Linked DNA regions of Drosophila melanogaster. The protein of the gene in region 1 interacts with the protein of each later gene in a pairwise test. Each region holds a gene or a part of one and is shown in the gene's direction. Other genes may lie near its edges. The genes, in order: pip, Snmp1, Zip88E and CG10469.

Region 1 (4,976 bases):
TATTAACACATTTAAATATCTGGCTATTAAAGTTAATAATTTTGCAGTTCTTTTTATGCCGTGGTCATTAATATACATATAATACATATATCTACTAAAAGTATTCACTCTAGATTAATGCAAATTGATGAAATTATTTATTTATCGTACGCACTTACATATAACATATACATATAATATATTAATTTAGAATTTGTGTAAATAATAAATTTATTTACCGAATACGATTTTAAATTTCTTTTATATATTTAAGCGGATGTATTAAACATGCCAACCAATTAACATGGAAAACCTCGCTGCATAAAATACACTGCCGAGTATTGGCCAAATATAATATATACGCACACCTGCCACAAACTCACACAATCAGCTATTTGTGTTTGCACCTAGGGCCAATTGCAGTTGTTTACAATCGAGTTGGCCAGCTCAGCGCAATCGGCACAGCCACAAAGGGACAGTTGGCAGCAAAAAACCATGGCATCGGACCGAAGATATAGCCAACATATTGTGAGCGACCACAATTGGACAGCTGATAAACTTAACCCGAAAACCGACAGCCTAACAACTCGTCGGCTTTTAAGTTTCGAAATCGGAGAAAGAGTCTGATCATTCAGATAGCTCAATTATCTCAGTCGATTTGGACAGTCATCAATGCAATAGGCAGCAACTTTACAAGTTTTTAGCTACTCACTTTCTTGGTACCAAATGCTGAAATACCTTTAATTATTACCAGATAAACACAAGACATGTGCCGCCAACGCATTTCGTTTTAATTTTACTTTTATGTTTTGGCTGTTTTTATGTTGAGGCTGGCGTTTTTCCATTTTTTTGCAATTGTTATCGAGAAATTTACACGAATTTTCAACTTGTTGCTGAAATAAAAAAAGTTTAATAAGACTAAACAATCAGTTTTTTGTCGGTCCTAAAAATGTGGACCTATGCAGATAGTTATGGGTAAACGCTTAAATTCGACAGCCGTCTGACGCCAGTTAGTGGACAAGTCAGTTACAGTGAGAGTTAAAAGTTAAGGTACCTGAAAAAGATAATTTAAAGTAATATATGATAAGACACACTTAAATAAAAGAGTAAAGGTATAAATATATTGAAATCTAGTATTAATTCTCGTAAATTAAAAATTCGTACCTCAATTTAATTTTTAAATGTTCTAATTTAATCGGAAAAAAGATTTCTTTGAGGCACTGTGCCATAAGAGTCAACTGTTGAATAAGGGTCAATGAGCTTAGCTTTGTGGACAGCAAGTGGGGAGATCGCGGAATCCAACTCTTGTAGAAACTATAGATTTGAGTTTGGCAAAAATTAAGCTTAGATCCCGAAGTTTGGCTAACGAACGAGGCGAGAAGACAGACATCGAGAAGAATCGCTTATATATGTACGAATGGCCAAAACTAATCGATGGAAATTACAAAAGCGGGAAGGTCAACTTTTCGACTGTCCATTGGGGGGGATGGGTTCAAAGGTAAACCTGTTTTTAATTCTAATTCTCCCTTCCTCTATGAAGAAATAGAAAAAACTAAAGTTCTTATTTTTGCCAACGTGGTTTGGATCACACGCAATATGTTCTATTCAACCGAACAAATTACCATTAAGGTCGGTAAACCAGCTGATCCAATAAAGGATATTGAAACAAGTGCCCGAAATTCGATTCCTTGCGCAGAGAATAAAGACACTTCGCTGTTTGGACGACCTAAATAAATATGTCTAAGTAGATTAATGTCAGATGTGGGGTAATAATAAAAATGTTGCCACAGACAAATGGGCTACAGTCACGTCCCCACGAAATCAGTCAGCCAGCGAACAAAGAGCGATCAAAAGAGCGAATAAACAGAGCCAAAGAGAGTCGAAGAAAATGGTAAAAGCAAACAGTGGTAAGCCGCCGCTGCCAACGTCTTAAAGTTGGCCAAAAAGGCGGCCAAGTGCCCCCAGGAACATTCAGTCAAGCCGCGATCGCCGAGCTCTACGGACGTCTATATCTCTAAGTCTTCGAATCGTGAATCGGAACTCAAGTGAACCCAAGTGCCGACCGGAAAATTCTTTCGGCCAAGAAAGGTCTTCGAGAACTAAGATCTCAAGCGATTGTGTTTTTTGTGTAATTGACATTGGATGTCTCTGAACGCCGAGCGATCGTACAAAATGAAACTGCGCGATGTGGAAAATGCCTTCAAATACCGGCGCATACCGTATCCCAAGCGGTAAGTGTGGTCTTCAGCCGAGAAAAAGGCGGCGGAGAAAAGATTTCTTTCACTCGAGAACGGTGTTCGTTTCAAAGGGGAAATGCAATTGAGTTCCAGTTTCAGTTAAATTGAAAACCGGTCATAATTGCCATTGAATGGCCAGAGAATCGAAATCGAGTTGGTAGATCGAAGATTGCGTTTGCCGCAGCGCTAAAGATTAAAAATACTCTGCTCTCGATTCTCCATAAAAAGCGCTTAACTTTCCGTTTTTCGCATCTGGCTAAAAGTGATAGTGTTTCAGGGTCGTTGTATTTGATAAATAAAATTAAATAAAAACTCCAATTGCTGGCCAGAGCAGTTCGAACATTCTTGACGGACTTTAAGTAGTGCCAGCCAGTAAATTAATTGCAGCTACACTAGAAGAAATAGATATTTTTGATCTTAAATTTAATATGAATCTCATCGACTTAGATGGGTTTATGTAGATCGACGAGCTTTAAGAACTTTATTTTAAAAAATTGATTGAGTACTTTTAATTAAGCTATGAAAAATTGTTACGAATGCTGATATGAGCTTCCAAGTACTGTATCAATTGAAAATATTTTCAAAAATTTATATATACAAAAAGGGGTCTATTATTTATCCTTTTATTTTTTTTGTATTTATTATTTATACTTTGAAAATGTTTTCTTATATTTTGAAGACTTATTAAAAGCAAGTATTAAAGCTTTGTAAACACTGTACTTCAACATTTAATTTTAAATGTTTCATAAACTTTTCTCTGTGCACTTGCGTCTGTCGTTTTTTCAATCTCTGCTCCAGTTAAAAGCTACAATCTTGTTTCTATTTTTTATTGCGTTTTTCATTTTCAATTCTTCTCATAATTCATTTGGTGTAGCACCTCGGGGCGGCAGATGAAGAGGAGGAAAACCACAAAAGCCGAGCTCACTTCAACTATTTCAAGTAGCCAAAAGAGCCGTGTCTTACCACCATCCTACCACTGCATTGTGTGGGCCTGCATTTTTCGGTGTTTGTTCTGGCCTTTTACAGAACCCAACTCGGCTCAGTTCGGGCCAAGTCAGCTCAGATAAAAGTTAAGAGCCCCCCAACTTGACTGCCCGCTCATTAGTCGATGGTCGATGGTCGACGGCCGGCGGTTTCTGCGGCCGCCCATAACAATTTTGGCTATTAAAAGGTGTTTAGGCCAGAGAACTGAGCCACTGCGTCCGCTATTGTGAAAGATTCGCTCTTTTTTCCGTTTGTATGGCCAAATTTGTTGCAACGAGTGCGTCGAGATGTAAACTAATGATATACCGACTACACATGTTATGGGCTAATTGGCTTTTGGGAAACTATTTCTTACCGTTTTTGTTGACTTTTTAAAAGGGTGTGAGAATTTGCTTTTCATTAAGGCAAAACGTGGTGAAGTCATGGCTCACAGCTATTTGCGTATAACTGTGAGATCTTAGCTCAAGCTAATGGCAAATTGGATCAACGACATACATATGTTTTATATTTTATTTAAACATTTTCCCACTTATTGAGTCCCTGCTAGATATCCTTTTTTCCTATAAAGCCCTCGTTAATTTTCGCGAAGCGAGGCCCATTTCCCGTTTATTTGCAGAACAAATTATTACATTAAATGTATGAATTACTGGCATTAATTAAACACATGGCTTAAATGTAGATATGTGTGATACTTTCTGTGGTTACCGCTGGCTGGAGCATAAATTTTACGCTCATTTTGACAATTTCATGCAGCTGCAAACTCTCAGTCAATCAGTTGGCCACTCAGTCAGTCTGCCAATCAATCAGGTAAACATTTATTTTTTATCCATTTCCGATGGCCAGGCGACTTAGTGAAACGAGTAATCTTGCCATTTGCACAACAAAATAGTGCAAATATTTGAATATGGATATGATTTATCACAACAGATACGAATTGTCCTGCAGAGAAACATAAATACATAAATTCCCAGCCATATTGCTGCGTACACTTACGTCGTTATTTGCACAATTCTTTTGTACGCTCTCAAATTGATATTAATTAATGAAATTAATTGGTTTTGCTTAAATAACTCGGCGACAGATGTTTGGCAGCTTCATTATCCGGACACGCGATAAATGAGCATACGTAGAAAATGAGTTCGTTGCACCCAGTTGAGAAAAATCAGTCGGAATCGATTCGAATCGATTTGAAAAGTCAAAAAAGACAATTATACGCTCAATGAGTGGAATGAAGTGCAGTTATGCAATAATTTCTTTCGAATTAGCATAAATTACGTTTCTGATTTGCTTTCCATTTGGATTAGGGTTTACCTAATACAAAAAACAAAACTCACTCTTATTTTCACTGCAAGCCGAAGCGTGACAGAAATTATTTAGAACGCCCCAAAAGAAAGAGGGCGAAGACTCAAGCCGCGCTTGAAAAGACTGTAGCTGGCTCTTCGCTGCCGAGTCTACAAGTCTTCAAGTCTTTCTTCTGTGCGCCTTTCTCAGCAATTCTTCTCTTTCTTGCCAGTTTCTTTCTTTCTCTGGGCGCCACGACATGCAGTCACTTACTCTTTGGTAATTATATTCAGTGATGTGATTTGTTTTTCTTTTCTTCATTTTCTTTCGAGTTTTGCATGCCGTTTTGTTTTATTTTGCCTGTCTTTCTGCAATGGAAATGATGCATATTGGGAATTTTACACGCTGCCGGTGGCCCGCGGGAAAGTTAATTATTGCTGTCTGTCTGCGGCGGGTGGCAAATTAAAAAATAATTATTAACAAAAACATATATAT
Region 2 (5,557 bases), on another chromosome or scaffold:
TCGTCTTCAAGTCCAAGAAGTATGTACCCAGACCAGGATTACCTCAATCTTAAGCCCCTTGAGCACTTAGGCATTTTCAAAACTATTTGGGCCAGCAATAATTGGTAGCAAACGAAATTGAGAATTTCCTCTTTCGCCTCCAGTTCGAACATAATCAAATTGTTGGCTACGCTGGCACTTCATTTTCAATTTTAATTTACATTCGCTCAGCAGAAAATCGAAGAAACCTGGTCGAACATACTGAAACTTATGGCAAAGTATCTGTATCTAAACGATCGGCTGCCGTTGTCAAGCGCGCTTCAATTTCCACTCGCGTCTCGCCGCAACTCGCTTTTCTGTGTCATTTTCCACTGGCGAGCTGGAGAGGTTCTGTCTGTCTGTCTGTCTGTCTGTCTTACATATATGTATGTATGTTTCTCGACTCAAGTCAACTCAACGCAACTCGAGTCGATGGCGCAGTCACGTGTTTTGGGTTTTGGCATTGTTTAAGTTGTTTCTCTGTCTGTAGTTTTCTTGTTTGTTTTTTTCATTTTTTTTTTGTTTTGTGCCATTGTTATGCATTATGTTTTGCACTCGGTTTCAGTTTCGATTTCTGTTTGTGTCAACAAACGACCAACTGAAAGGGGCGTTGCCGAGCCCAGTTAGCCGGTCAAGGTGGCAGAGCATCTAACTTAAATGGATTTATTGGCTAATTGAAGAATGCTTTACGCACTACAAATATTCAGATTACAAGGCAACGAAAATATTTCAGATTTGATGGATACTTAGATACTTCATAGATATTGAGACCAGAGTCTGGAAACTGTGTATACAATCATTCACTGTAAAAACAAGGTTTAAGTTGCATGAACATCATTAAAAAAGAGTATTTACTAGATTTACTTATGAAGAAGTATTTTACTCGATGCTTACGCCTAAAATGTATCTTTTAAGGTTTTGACAGTGAAGCCATAATAAAAATGGATACTAGCATTATTTAACGCCTTATGTCTTTACAAAACTCAACTGCTTCTAATTTTAGAATAGGATAACCTTATAGCAAATAAGTTATAAATTACTTTGAAAATTTAAAATAAAATAAATCCAGAAAATACAATTTTCCAAAATATAATAGAAATATTTGCTCTTCTCACTCAAGCTAATATCAAACCTCGCGAGTCTGGCTTACTCTTTCCCTAATTAGCCATCAACACTTGCATTGGTTCTCCTTGAAATTGGAAAACGTAATTGCCGCAATTAGGGAAGAAAAGTTTCCAAGGAAAGGTAACAAGTGCTAATAGTGGAATATAGGCCAGGTGTCGCATAAGTCATTTCGAAATTCAATTACAGAAGTATAGAAATAAGTTCTACAAGTCCAAGTGCATAACGTTTAGGTAGGTGATAGTAGGTTCTTTGGGTAGCTAATGCGTATCTATGGGTTATGTATGGTGTTTGCTAATATCAATTTCAAAACCAAAATGGGTTACACTTTTATAGAAGTGGTTGCAAATTATAGAAAAACTGAGGATATTCCTTTACTTCCCCCTAAAGAAAGGCAATTAAACGATCTTGTTTATATTCCTAGTCCAAACTTGTTGGTACATCAAATGCATTTCAATGCATTTTGGCCCATTTGGGCTATGCGAACAATTAAGTCTGATTGAAATATAGGTGTACGATCAAAACGACTTGATGACGAGGGTCCAGATGAACAAAAGCCAGTTATACCGCATTCGTGCGTCCGACTATGGCCGAAACTGCGTGGAGTGTAGAGCGTAAAGTGGAAACAATTTATAATACTCAAATACATGCAATTATTGATTTTATAAGTAATGCCGTGTTATCTGATTGTTTTGCCATCCGGCCTGCCGCCTCCTCAACCGCAAATGCTGCTGCTATGGCTGAGTGAAAAATATTCGCACGTTCCGTCCGATTTGAGGAGGGGATTCCGGACTTCAGTGTGGAGACGATTCAGTTGCGTCGCGACTGTGAAAGCCTCTGGTCTTCAGCTCGAAGGAGGCAATCGGATTGAAAGGATTTCCGTGCACGAATCGAGTAGAGATCGAAACATTGCCCAGAGATGCAAGTACCTCGGGTTAAGCTGCTCATGGGGTCGGGAGCCATGTTCGTGTTTGCCATCATCTATGGCTGGGTTATCTTTCCCAAAATTCTCAAGTTTATGATATCGAAGGTGGGATCGATGAGGGAGTTATACCCGGCTTAAATCTTATAATAGCTTCCCACCCAATAGCAAGTAACTTTAAAGCCCGGATCGGATGTTCGGGAACTCTGGTCCAATACTCCATTCCCACTGCATTTCTATATCTACGTTTTCAACGTAACCAATCCGGATGAGGTATCCGAAGGAGCTAAGCCACGGCTACAGGAAGTGGGTCCCTTCGTTTTCGAGTGGGTTTCTATATATTGGATTGTGTAGGATAGCAAGTAACTAACACTGTTTCTCCCTGCTTTGAGTGAGTGGAAGGACAAGTATGATTTGGAGGATGATGTCGTAGAGGACACGGTCAGCTTCACCATGAGGAACACGTTCATTTTCAACCCGAAGGAGTCGCTGCCACTTACGGGCGAGGAGGAGATTATTTTGCCGCATCCCATAATGCTGGTAATTATTAAATGGTTTAGTTCATATTTTTTGAAACTATACAAGTTTCCAAACATTTTCGTTAAATCAATCATATTCTTCCATTTCTTCATATAAAATTCAATCCCATACCCTGCTATACCTTACTAAAAATGGTTAGTAAATTTAAAATCAACACTCACTGCATCAGCGACTTTATGGCAAACGTTGGGAATTAGAGATTCTAGTCAGAGCTATGGAAAACTGCACTTAAGGCGCCAGCTAATGACCACGTGGCCCATTGTTAGCCATGTGAATTATGCAAATCGCATTCCCAGCCCCAAAATAGCAGCCACAAAATTAACCCATTAAGAGTGATAGAAATGGATTTCAGAATGGCGTCTTTTGTGTTCTGTAATTCTAAGCTGAATTTAGTCTGCGATTTATTGGCGGCGATTATATGTTTTTCCCTTTCCAATTTTTACAGCCTGGCGGCATTTCGGTTCAAAGGGAAAAGGCTGCCATGATGGAGCTGGTTTCCAAAGGATTAAGCATTGTCTTTCCGGATGCCAAAGCCTTTTTGAAAGCTAAATTTATGGATTTATTTTTCCGCGGCATCAACGTAGATTGCTCCTCGGAAGAATTCTCCGCAAAGGCGCTCTGCACCGTGTTTTACACGGGAGAAATTAAGCAGGCCAAACAAGTCAATCAAACTCACTTTTTGTTCTCGTTTATGGGTCAGGTGAGTTCTTAATACTGCCAATTAATACTACTTAAGTGACTGAAATTTCAATTAACATCGAAAAACAGGCCAATCACTCGGATTCTGGCAGATTCACTGTCTGTCGCGGAGTGAAAAATAACAAAAAGCTTGGAAAGGTAGTGAAATTCGCCGACGAACCGGAGCAAGACATTTGGCCAGATGGCGAGTGCAACACCTTTGTGGGCACTGATTCTACGGTCTTTGCACCGGGCTTGAAAAAGGAGGATGGCCTGTGGGCATTCACGCCGGATTTGTGTAGATCCCTGGGCGCTTATTATCAGCACAAGTCATCCTACCATGGCATGCCATCGATGAGATACACCCTGGATTTGGGGGATATACGTGCCGATGAGAAGCTTCATTGTTTCTGCGAAGATCCCGAAGATCTGGACACGTGTCCGCCCAAGGGCACTATGAATCTGGCGGCCTGTGTTGGTGGTCCATTGATGGCATCAATGCCTCATTTCTATCTGGGCGATCCAAAGCTGGTTGCCGACGTTGATGGTCTCAATCCGAATGAAAAGGATCATGCGGTCTACATAGACTTTGAACTTGTAAGCAAGCAATTTGAGTAATGAATATACATGCATATTATCTATTTCTACTCCCTTCAGATGTCTGGAACACCTTTTCAGGCTGCCAAGCGTTTGCAGTTTAATCTGGACATGGAGCCAGTGGAGGGCATTGAACCCATGAAGAATCTACCCAAGCTGATATTGCCCATGTTTTGGGTGGAGGAGGGCGTGCAGTTGAACAAGACCTACACGAACTTAGTGAAATACACACTATTTCTGTAAGTTGGAATCTACATTGTTAAGAGAAATTATATAACATATTTTAATTATCTTTTTAGGGGCCTAAAAATCAACTCAGTCCTGCGCTGGTCCCTCATTACTTTCTCCCTGGTGGGCCTGATGTTTTCCGCCTATCTTTTCTACCACAAATCCGACAGTTTGGACATAAACAGCATCCTCAAGGATAACAACAAGGTAGACGACGTGGCCAGCACAAAGGAGCCCTTGCCTTCAGCAAATCCAAAGCAATCTTCTACTGTGCACCCTGTTCAGTTGCCCAATACTCTGATTCCCGGCACGAATCCCGCTACCAATCCAGCTACCCATCACAAAATGGAGCATCGGGAGCGCTACTAATACCCCAAATGGCATTCTCCAGCGATCTCTGCACCATAGTCGTAGTCCACTGCACCTGTGTAGTCCAATATGAGCTAATCAACTGAGACAGATCTAAGCACATTCGTCTGGGAAACTGGTCGCTGGCCAATGGAGTGATCGCTAATCGATGACCACTGATCGCAGATGACAAGATCTGTGCGCTCCACTGACACCGATCATCGTGGATTCAGTAATAAAAAATAAAAAAACGCAGAAGTTCAGAAGTTCGAGTTCAGCGATCACAAGAGTCGGTGAATTGACAAATCGTTTTTAAACAATGGCTGCAATGTTTGCAAACCGAAAACAATTGCGGAGACAGGCGGAAAAGTTGAAGTGAAAATATCTCAACTTGTATAGCGTTGATTAATGATTTGTAAACAGTATGCAAAAATTACACTTTTTTAATTAATTTTAATGAAGACGAATTATAAGTACTTGTTCTGTTGGCCCCTTAAAGTGAAGTGTTTGTAGTTGTAAATGTAAAATCAAACAAAGAGGGGGCAAATAAATGGTATTTATTTGGCTTAATTTATGCAGTTTCATTTATATAATATTTTCTCATTAGTATAAATAAGTAGGAATTTTAATACTATTTCCCATTTAATAGATTATTTTTCTATGCCATTCCACATCTCATTGGCCCTCGAGGATCTCCAACTAATCTATCTTCCAAAATGGTTGTGTCCTTAGGCAGTTCGACGAACTCCAACAGATCCGCCAACTGGCCGCAATTGAGTTCCGCTTCCTCGACAAAGAAATCCTCATCCAGATCCTTGATAAAGATCTCCTTTCCCTTCTCGTGACTTATCTCCAAGTAGTTGAGATCCTTCAGATGGGGCAACATGTCCATGTGATTCGAAGTCAAGTTGTCGTAGGTAAAACTCAATCTTTCCAATCCCTTGGCTGAGGTAATTTTGGGTAAATCCGCGAGATTTACAATGTCCGTTACATCCAAGTCAACGAGCTTACTGGCCTTGGACAGAAAGTCAAGTCTATACAGATTGGTATTGGCCAAGTAAAGATGCTCCAGATCCTGGGGCTGCGAAATCTTCAACTCATGCA
Region 3 (4,310 bases), on another chromosome or scaffold:
CTGCAGCTCCGCAACCTTGTGCTGGATTGTCTGCTGCAGAAGGCTGTGCTGCTCCAGCAGATTCTCCAGCTCCTTGATGCGAGATCTCTGCAGTTCCAGAACCTTGGTGAAGTTACTCGTGGCCGGGGACTCAAGCCAGTTGATTAGAAAACTATTATGTTGCTCTTTATTATCGTTGGCGTTTTGTTGAGCATCAAAATTACTCTTCGTCTTGCTATCTAGTGTACTCGCATCCTGCCCTGGGTTGGGGCTGCAATCATTCAAAGGACTCTCCTCCAGGACCAGAACATTGGTCTCGTTCGAGGATCGACAAACTCTGTAATTGGGCTTGTCGATTTCCGGGAACACAGCTCGCTCATCATTTTCGGTCAGATCGGACTCTTGAACGCAAATCTCTGGAGGCGGCGCCATGGGACGTTGCTTCGCCGGAGAGCAGCACCCATCTTCATAGTCATTATTCCGGGTGCCGTTCATAAGCAGCACGTTGATTGCATTTGAAGTTCTTCTCTCGCCGCCGCCACAAGTAAAGTTATTCGAATTATTGGTGTATCCGCCAGATAAACCTGTCGCTGAGCTTCCAGTTTGATGGCTGAACGAGCCGGTCATCTTGGTTCGCCTAACAGGCGAAGAGCTCTGAGTCTGCAGCGTCACCGTTGAGCACTGCACTTCCTGATCCTTCAATTGCTGGGTGATGCACGTCTGGCAGCATTCGCTCTTCAGCTCCGGCTTTTTCTTCGTATTCTGCTGGTTCATCGAACTTTTAATTTTGTTGTTACCTCGTGAAGTTGGCGATACCGGGTAGTTCGGGCTACTGCGGAAATCATCTGCTACAGTTTTTATGTCCGTTGTCCTGAAAGCTGGACAAGTGAGACGTTCACAGGAACTCTGTTTTTTTGGGCTGCCTTTGGAATTATCCTTTCTTTCTTTATACTCTTTATTTATACTTTGTTGGCTGCCTGAATCCTCTTCTAGAGGGGCTACCGCTTTTTTGATCCCTTGCACTGGACAGAAACTACAGGTGCATCCATCACAGGTGCAGTTTACAGCTCCAAAGGTCGGTTTATTTACCCTTGGGCTTAATTTCATAGGTGGATTATTTTTGTTCTCTAAGTTTGTGGCCCTTGTTTGTGGATTGGGATACTTCTGTCCCATTTGGGTGTATGTATTGCCCTGGAACATGCTGTTGCAGGTGTTTCGAAAACGACAGCAACCATTCGTACATCTGTTCGCGCTGCTGAATTCCTGCCTCTCCGAGCCGAGACTCTGTTTGCTTTGGTTCTGGATCCGCTCGTTAGTCTTTTTGCTGATGGAATAGCCATGGCCAGCGTCCGATGCCGAAGAGCTCCACCTGCTCCATTCCTGCAGGCCAGCTTGAGTCCTTGCCCTGCCAGCAGCACGAGACGAGCTCTCCGATTCCGAACCTGATCCGTGGCCATCCAAATGGGAGGCGCAAACGCATCCGTGCCGGCATAGCGATTCGGGGTCGACGTCAAAACTGCTGAGGTTGGCCAAGTTCTGCCACCGGCGAGCCTCCGACATGTTGCGCGGGTAGACGCACTGCTCGCCCGGCTCCTGGCCACAGATTATACAACGACGATGCATTTTCCAACGGACAACCAGGACGGAAACGGTAAAATTTTGAATTTTAACTACAGGAGCATTTGTCGAAGTGCAAAACTATAATTGGAGAGGGTGCCTACCTTCTTTTATTGAAATTCTTAATGGTGGTGGTTGGTAAAAGAATAGTTCTAGATTTAAATGTTTAAATAAAATTAAAAAAAAAAAAAACCGTTTAAATGAGTGTGATCTGAAAGGCGCACTGCTGAAATGCCTTACTTTTCTGTGGCCCCCCCATTGTAAGGCGTTTTGGTATTTCGCACGAAAGCAGCTGCACACACTTCGCAACTGTTTAGTTTAAAAATAGTAAATGCAACGAACTTTTGTGTGTTTTACTGGCCCCCTTCTTGATGACACAGTCTGGCAGTTGATACAATGAGCTTGCCAACCGACGGTCTAAACATGGAGATCACCCCAAGCCCCACCCTGGCTGCCACGAGTCGCGGCGACTTGGAAAAAGTGCTGGCTATGCTGGTCCTCGGACTCGGGAGTCTTTTGTTCGGATTGCTGCCCGCCTTTATATCGGAACGGAATCGTCGCCGCTTCCCGCTGACCGCATCCCTGCTCCTGTGCTTCGGAGCGGGCATTCTGCTAGCCACCGCACTGGTGCACATTCTGCCCGAGGTAAGAGCTTGGACTGCGATCGTGTGTGTGGCTGCAATTTGATAACCTGCTGACTTACGCATGCAACAGGTGCGCGAACAAATGGACTCGAAATTCGCTGAGGTTGCCATGTGCGGCGGGTTCTTCATCATCTACTTTATCGACGAGTTCATACACTACTTCTTTGGCGAGGCCATTCAGCACACTCATGCCCACGATGCAGAGACTCCAGCAACCGAGCCACCAAGACGTCCCACTAATGACAATGGTTATGGCGCAGTGGACGAACGAGCGCCCCTTTTATCAGCGGAACCCAATACGTCACATGGGCATTCGCACCATCATAGCCAGTAGGTTTATTGCATTTCCCTTCCCGCAGCCAAAACTAATTGCTTTGTGCTTCGATTACGCAGCGATCATGACCACAATCACCCGGCCAGCGCATCTGGCTGTAATGATGCCAGTGTAGAGGACGCCAACGCCCGCATCTGCCACACCAGCCACACGGAACCCTGCGCCCAATCCATGACAGGCACTCTGGGTCTCTTTGTCGCCCTGTCACTGCACTCGGCCATCGAAGGACTCGCCATCGGCGTTCAGAACTCTTCCACAAAGGTCTGTGCCGCCTGCCTTGACATAGTTAGACTAGATCGGCTATAGTGCGCAATCTTAGGCAAATATTGAAGCAAAGAGATGCGAGGGCTTAGTCCAATTAGATAACCGGAATCTGCTTTGTCTCGTCGTAGGTTCTGTTTCTTCTAGGGGCCGTCGCCTGCCACAAGTTCGTGATGGGCTTTTGTCTGGGGCTCGAGTTCCGCTCGAATCCGCAGACGAGTTTTCGCGCCCAGTTCGTCGGCATTTCGGTGTTTGCCCTGGGCGCCGTCATTGGCATTGGCCTGGGCATGCTTATCGTGGACGTGCCCGCCGCTTGGTCCAGCAAAACTCTGCCTATCGTCCAAGCTCTGGCCGGAGGCACACTCTTCTACGTCACCGTCTGCGAGGTGATACCGCGCGAGAAGGCGCGCTGGCACTCGAACTCAACGCGACGCTGGGCGGGATTTGCACAGTTTGCAACTGTGCTCGCCGGCTTTGCGACCATGTGCATCATAAACTTTTATCTTTCTGGTGCGTAGCATTATGTGATTTGCATTTCCCTTTCGACATTGCTGACCTATTTTCTTCGCGCCTTTTCAGATGAGGATTAGACATCTTTTCGTTGAGAAATCGTTTCAGCGCTGTGAGAAAATGTGCCGCTTTTTAAACTTAGAACACTTAGGATAATATTATGGATTGGCAGCTGTTAATCTCTTGTGTAAGACTTGTTACTTGTGCATTTCCAACTAATCTTGTTTTAGGTACATTGTCGATCTGCCGTAGGATAAGTAAAAAGTTCAGTCTTCTCGTCTACATTTATATTTTCTCTTTCTCCAAAGTTTGTGTTATTTTTTATGCTTTTATTATATGTAATAAACCTTACAATTAAGTTGTTAATCAAAAAAAGGGCATCCTCTTTTCCTTTTGATTAATCTTACTTAGCCAACCATTAAACGCAATCATTTTATTACTTTCTGGGGACATCATGTCACTGTTTTAAACGAATTAAAACAACATCTATGTAACTACATCTCTATATGTATGTAAATAGGCATATGTGTATATATATATATAGTGTTTACCTAATCGTGAAATGTTGCTTGGTTGCTCTATTGGTGGTGTATGTGTGAAGAAACGGACACTCATAAATAGCTAAATGTTGGGTTGTTTGGTCTCTGATCTCTCATTTAAGGTCATTTGGGGAACTCCTCTTAGATTTACGATTTTCATGCTAGCAGGGCAACATACTTGGGATGGGAGGGGATTTACAATTACGTGAGATGAGTAGATTAGATCTTATACACTTAAACCAGTGCATATGCATATCTTATCATTCACCTTGATCTTCATTAACAATTTAATTTACAATAGAAACCGAAAATTCGCGCCGAGCTCAGGTGCGTTTATCTGCTGACCTGCGTTGAATCGCCAAACTTAGAACATAAATAAATCTAGTAATTATAGCTCCTCCTTCGCCGCCGCACTAACCCCATTCT
Region 4 (3,653 bases), about 13 Mb from region 1:
ACCGCTGGCAGATTCTCGTACCATGGTTGTTGGGCCTCCTGAGCGCTGGTTACGTCGATCAAAAGACAACAACAAATCAGAGCAATCGGAAGTACTAGATTTATCTGATCTCTCTGCCACGTCAATTGCATTTTGGGATTTATACTCGTCGGATTAGTGGTGCCTGGGTGGGGATGAACTCAGGGGGATCTAATCTGCCGTTTCCTCTGAGCTCTCTGTCAACAAAAAGGGTTAACTGCACCGGTTAGCTAGCTTTCTATTTGCCAAACTACCCATAAAGTTAAATAAACGAATTCAATAAACAACCGACCTGTTGCTTAGAGGTGGACTATTTGCTGTGTGGTATTTCTAGAGCAGGGCTGCCAGATCTTTGCAACTGCCACCACTGTGTAGCAAAGATGGGCATTTAAACATATATATAAAAAAATGTATATTGTATTCAAGTATGTTAATAAAATTGTTCTATTTAAAAGGCTTAATAAGCAAATATCAAAAAATTTTACCAACAAATTTTTAACTACTAAAACAAGCCCCTGCGAATTTTTACTTACTACGCACATGTAAAAACAGCTGGTCTAAAATAGGTAAGGCAACTCTAAAATTTGAATTGCAACTACGGCGATTAAAAGATAATTTAAGTAAGAATTTTCTGAATTACCGCTAAATTTGGAATACGAACATTGCACAATTCTTAAAGACTCCACAAGGTGTCTATCCCCCTTATCGCAGACTTTCCCACCAATTTGTGATAACTAGATCTGTTTATATATGTACGTACATATGTACATTTTGTTTGCGGCTTTTTTGCGATAATTAAAACAAACACATACGCACATCGAGTGCTGATTAACCTTTACGGCTTGGAGAGGGTCAGATAAAAACGCAGTGCAATTGGCACTCGTAATCATTCCACAGCTGCAGCCGGATCCAAAATGGTCAACGTCACGGAAGACGTCTTCGCCAACGGAGCGGTGAATCCGTTCACCAAGTCAAAGGACACCATCAAGCGGTTCACCCTGACAAATGGAGCTGGAATGTCCGTGCAATTGATCACCCGTGGAGCCACCATTACCAGCATAAAGACGCCTGATGCCAGCGGTCAAATAGATGACGTGACCCTCGGATTTGACGATTTGGCGGGCTATCAGAGCGAGAGAAATCCGTATTTTGGAGCAACCATTGGGCGGGTTTGCAACCGGATTGCCAATGGCAGCTTTTATCTTGATGGAAAGCTAGTTCAGGTGTCTAAGAACCGAGACAACAAGTTTCAGCTCCATGGCGGCTTTGTAGGCTTCGATAAGGCTCACTGGGAAGTTGTGGAAGTGCGTGTGGATGGTGTTACCCTGTCCCACACCAATCCCGATGGACACGAAGGCTATCCCGGCAAGGTGACAGCCACGGCAAGCTTTACCCTCAGCGAGGATAACTGCCTCCATGTCCAGATGAGTGCACTAGCAGATAAAACCACTCCCGTGAATCTCACCAACCACTCCTATTTCAACCTAGCTGGCCACAAATCTGGAGCCAACGGTCTCTACGAGCACACCATCGAGATAAATGCTTATGGAATCACTGAGACGGATCAGTCTTCCATTCCCACCGGCCGTATCACACCCGTAGAGGGAACAGGATTTGATTTACGTGTGTCCAGCAATCTGGGTGAACGCCTCAAGGCGCTGCAGCCAGCTCGCGGCTACGATGACAACTTCTGTGTGACCTTCAGTCCACCACAACCATTGGCCAAGGTGGCCAGAGCCACTCATCCGCCCAGCGGACGCTGGCTGGAGGTGGTCAGCAATCAGCCCGGAGTGCAGTTCTACACCTCCAACTTTATGCCAGACGTGGAACGCGGTGAATCGCCCATTCCCGGCAAGGATGGAGCTGCCTATGCCAAGCATTGTGCCTTCTGCCTGGAGACACAAAAGTTTCCCGACTCCGTGAACCACAGCAACTTTCCCTCGACCATTTTGCGACCTGGCGAAAGTTACCAGCACGAAGTCATCTACAAGTTCGGAGTTTCTCACTGAGTGAGAATCTTATCTTACTTATATATACGTATATGTACCATGTATCCGACTATTCAAGCAACCCGTAATTATTATAACCAATAAACCAAAAGCACGCAGATTATGCAAAGAGGTTCGAACACGCCGCAATCATAAAACCGGGGCAATCAATGAAAACCACGAATACGGGCAATATATAAAGCTGTTCAAGGGTTTGGAGTTGTAAATCAATTGAAATGATTCTCCAGCTGGTGCTTATCGTGCAGTTCTCCCTGGTATTTGGCCAGGAGACTGGCTCCCTGCGAATAATGAATGGCACAGCGGCAAAAGCGAAGCAGTTGCCTTACCAGGTTGGACTACTTTGCTACTTCGAAGGATCCAAGGATGAGCCCAATATGTGCGGGGGCACTATCCTCAGTAATCGTTGGATTATAACCGCAGCCCATTGTCTGCAGGATCCAAAGTCTAATCTGTAAGTAACATACACATACTCCGCCGATTTATATATATCTATATTTCTCACCTACTTAGCTGGAAAGTGCTGATCCACGTGGGAAAGGTGAAATCCTTTGATGATAAAGAAATCGTGGTCAACCGGAGCTACACCATCGTCCACAAGAAGTTCGACCGTAAGACCGTGACAAACGATATAGCCCTGATCAAATTACCCAAGAAGCTTACATTTAACAAGTATATCCAACCCGCCAAGTTGCCCAGTGCCAAGAAAACATACACGGGTCGCAAAGCCATCATTTCGGGTTGGGGTCTGACCACCAAGCAGCTGCCCAGCCAGGTGCTCCAGTACATCAGGGCGCCCATCATCTCGAACAAGGAGTGCGAGAGGCAGTGGAACAAGCAGCTGGGCGGCAAAAGCAAAAAGGTCGTGCACAACGGCTTCATCTGCATCGATTCCAAGAAGGGTCTGCCATGTCGCGGCGACTCCGGAGGTCCGATGGTCTTGGACGATGGCAGCAGAACCCTGGTGGGAATTGTATCCCACGGATTCGATGGCGAGTGCAAGCTAAAACTGCCCGACGTATCCACACGCGTTTCTTCCTACCTCAAGTGGATTAAATACTACTCTGGAGGACTTAAGTAGTTGATGTGGAATCATTAAAAATCGAATCTCTTTTCAAACGTGTGCTTTATTCTTATTACTTCATACAAACTCCCATACACTTTCTCGTTCTCCGTTCCATTTTCATAATATTCTCTTGTGGCTTTGCTAAATTTGTTATCATTTCTTAATGTTGGTTTCGATTTGTATGTTATTTGTGACTTTGCATGTCGTTTAAACAATTTGTTTATGATAATGTTTAGATGTTCTCGTTTTGTGGGCTTGGTTTACGTGTGAGTGTGGTTAATGTTGCTGATTATTTGCAATTCTCCCCCTTGCTTTAATTTACCTTATTTGTTCTCGCTATTTCGTAAATGCAGTTCTCAAAATGTACAAACACATAAATGGAAATGATTCAGTACAATAATGGTGAGTGATATAATTTGGTTCTTTTAACGATTCTTTTAGTATTTTCCCTATATGTACAAAAAGTGTAAACGAAATTGTGGAAAAGCTATACAATTTGTTAGTTAACAAAGCGAATAAGTTGATAAGAACTCGGCTGATTAAATTAGTTTGTTTTCTCTTCG

Evidence for each region.
Region 2: the proteins of pip (region 1) and Snmp1 interact in a two-hybrid assay, tested with the Drosophila melanogaster proteins (one large-scale study listed by BioGRID).
Region 3: the proteins of pip (region 1) and Zip88E interact in a two-hybrid assay, tested with the Drosophila melanogaster proteins (one large-scale study listed by BioGRID).
Region 4: the proteins of pip (region 1) and CG10469 interact in a two-hybrid assay, tested with the Drosophila melanogaster proteins (one large-scale study listed by BioGRID).

Annotation. Positions count from the first base shown.
Region 1 is NT_037436.4:19,334,576-19,339,551, reverse strand, and holds the start of pip (pipe), read left to right. Parts: upstream 1-1,942; 5' UTR 1,943-2,121; coding exon 2,122-2,210; intron 2,211-4,976. UniProt on the Drosophila melanogaster protein: Sulfotransferase involved in dorsoventral axis patterning in early embryos.
Region 2 is NT_033777.3:21,164,631-21,170,187, reverse strand, and holds Snmp1 (sensory neuron membrane protein 1), read left to right. Parts: upstream 1-1,982; 5' UTR 1,983-2,059; coding exon 2,060-2,170; intron 2,171-2,230; coding exon 2,231-2,388; intron 2,389-2,454; coding exon 2,455-2,602; intron 2,603-3,047; coding exon 3,048-3,302; intron 3,303-3,370; coding exon 3,371-3,877; intron 3,878-3,937; coding exon 3,938-4,116; intron 4,117-4,176; coding exon 4,177-4,474; 3' UTR 4,475-5,021; downstream 5,022-5,557. Other genes in the region: CG5810 (uncharacterized protein), read right to left, coding at 5,112-5,557. UniProt on the Drosophila melanogaster protein: Plays an olfactory role that is not restricted to pheromone sensitivity. Has a role in detection and signal transduction of the fatty-acid-derived male pheromone 11-cis vaccenyl acetate (cVA). Not required for sensitivity to general odorants.
Region 3 is NT_033777.3:15,266,771-15,271,080, forward strand, and holds Zip88E (Zinc/iron regulated transporter-related protein 88E), read left to right. Parts: upstream 1-1,891; 5' UTR 1,892-1,992; coding exon 1,993-2,241; intron 2,242-2,310; coding exon 2,311-2,570; intron 2,571-2,633; coding exon 2,634-2,835; intron 2,836-2,966; coding exon 2,967-3,345; intron 3,346-3,414; coding exon 3,415-3,425; 3' UTR 3,426-3,762; downstream 3,763-4,310. Other genes in the region: CG14864 (uncharacterized protein), read right to left, coding at 1-1,602; Cp190 (centrosomal protein 190kD), read right to left, coding at 4,273-4,310.
Region 4 is NT_037436.4:6,091,675-6,095,327, reverse strand, and holds CG10469 (uncharacterized protein), read left to right. Parts: upstream 1-2,027; 5' UTR 2,028-2,242; coding exon 2,243-2,478; intron 2,479-2,537; coding exon 2,538-3,105; 3' UTR 3,106-3,140; downstream 3,141-3,653. Other genes in the region: loj (logjam), read right to left, coding at 1-131; CG10467 (uncharacterized protein), read left to right, coding at 933-2,027.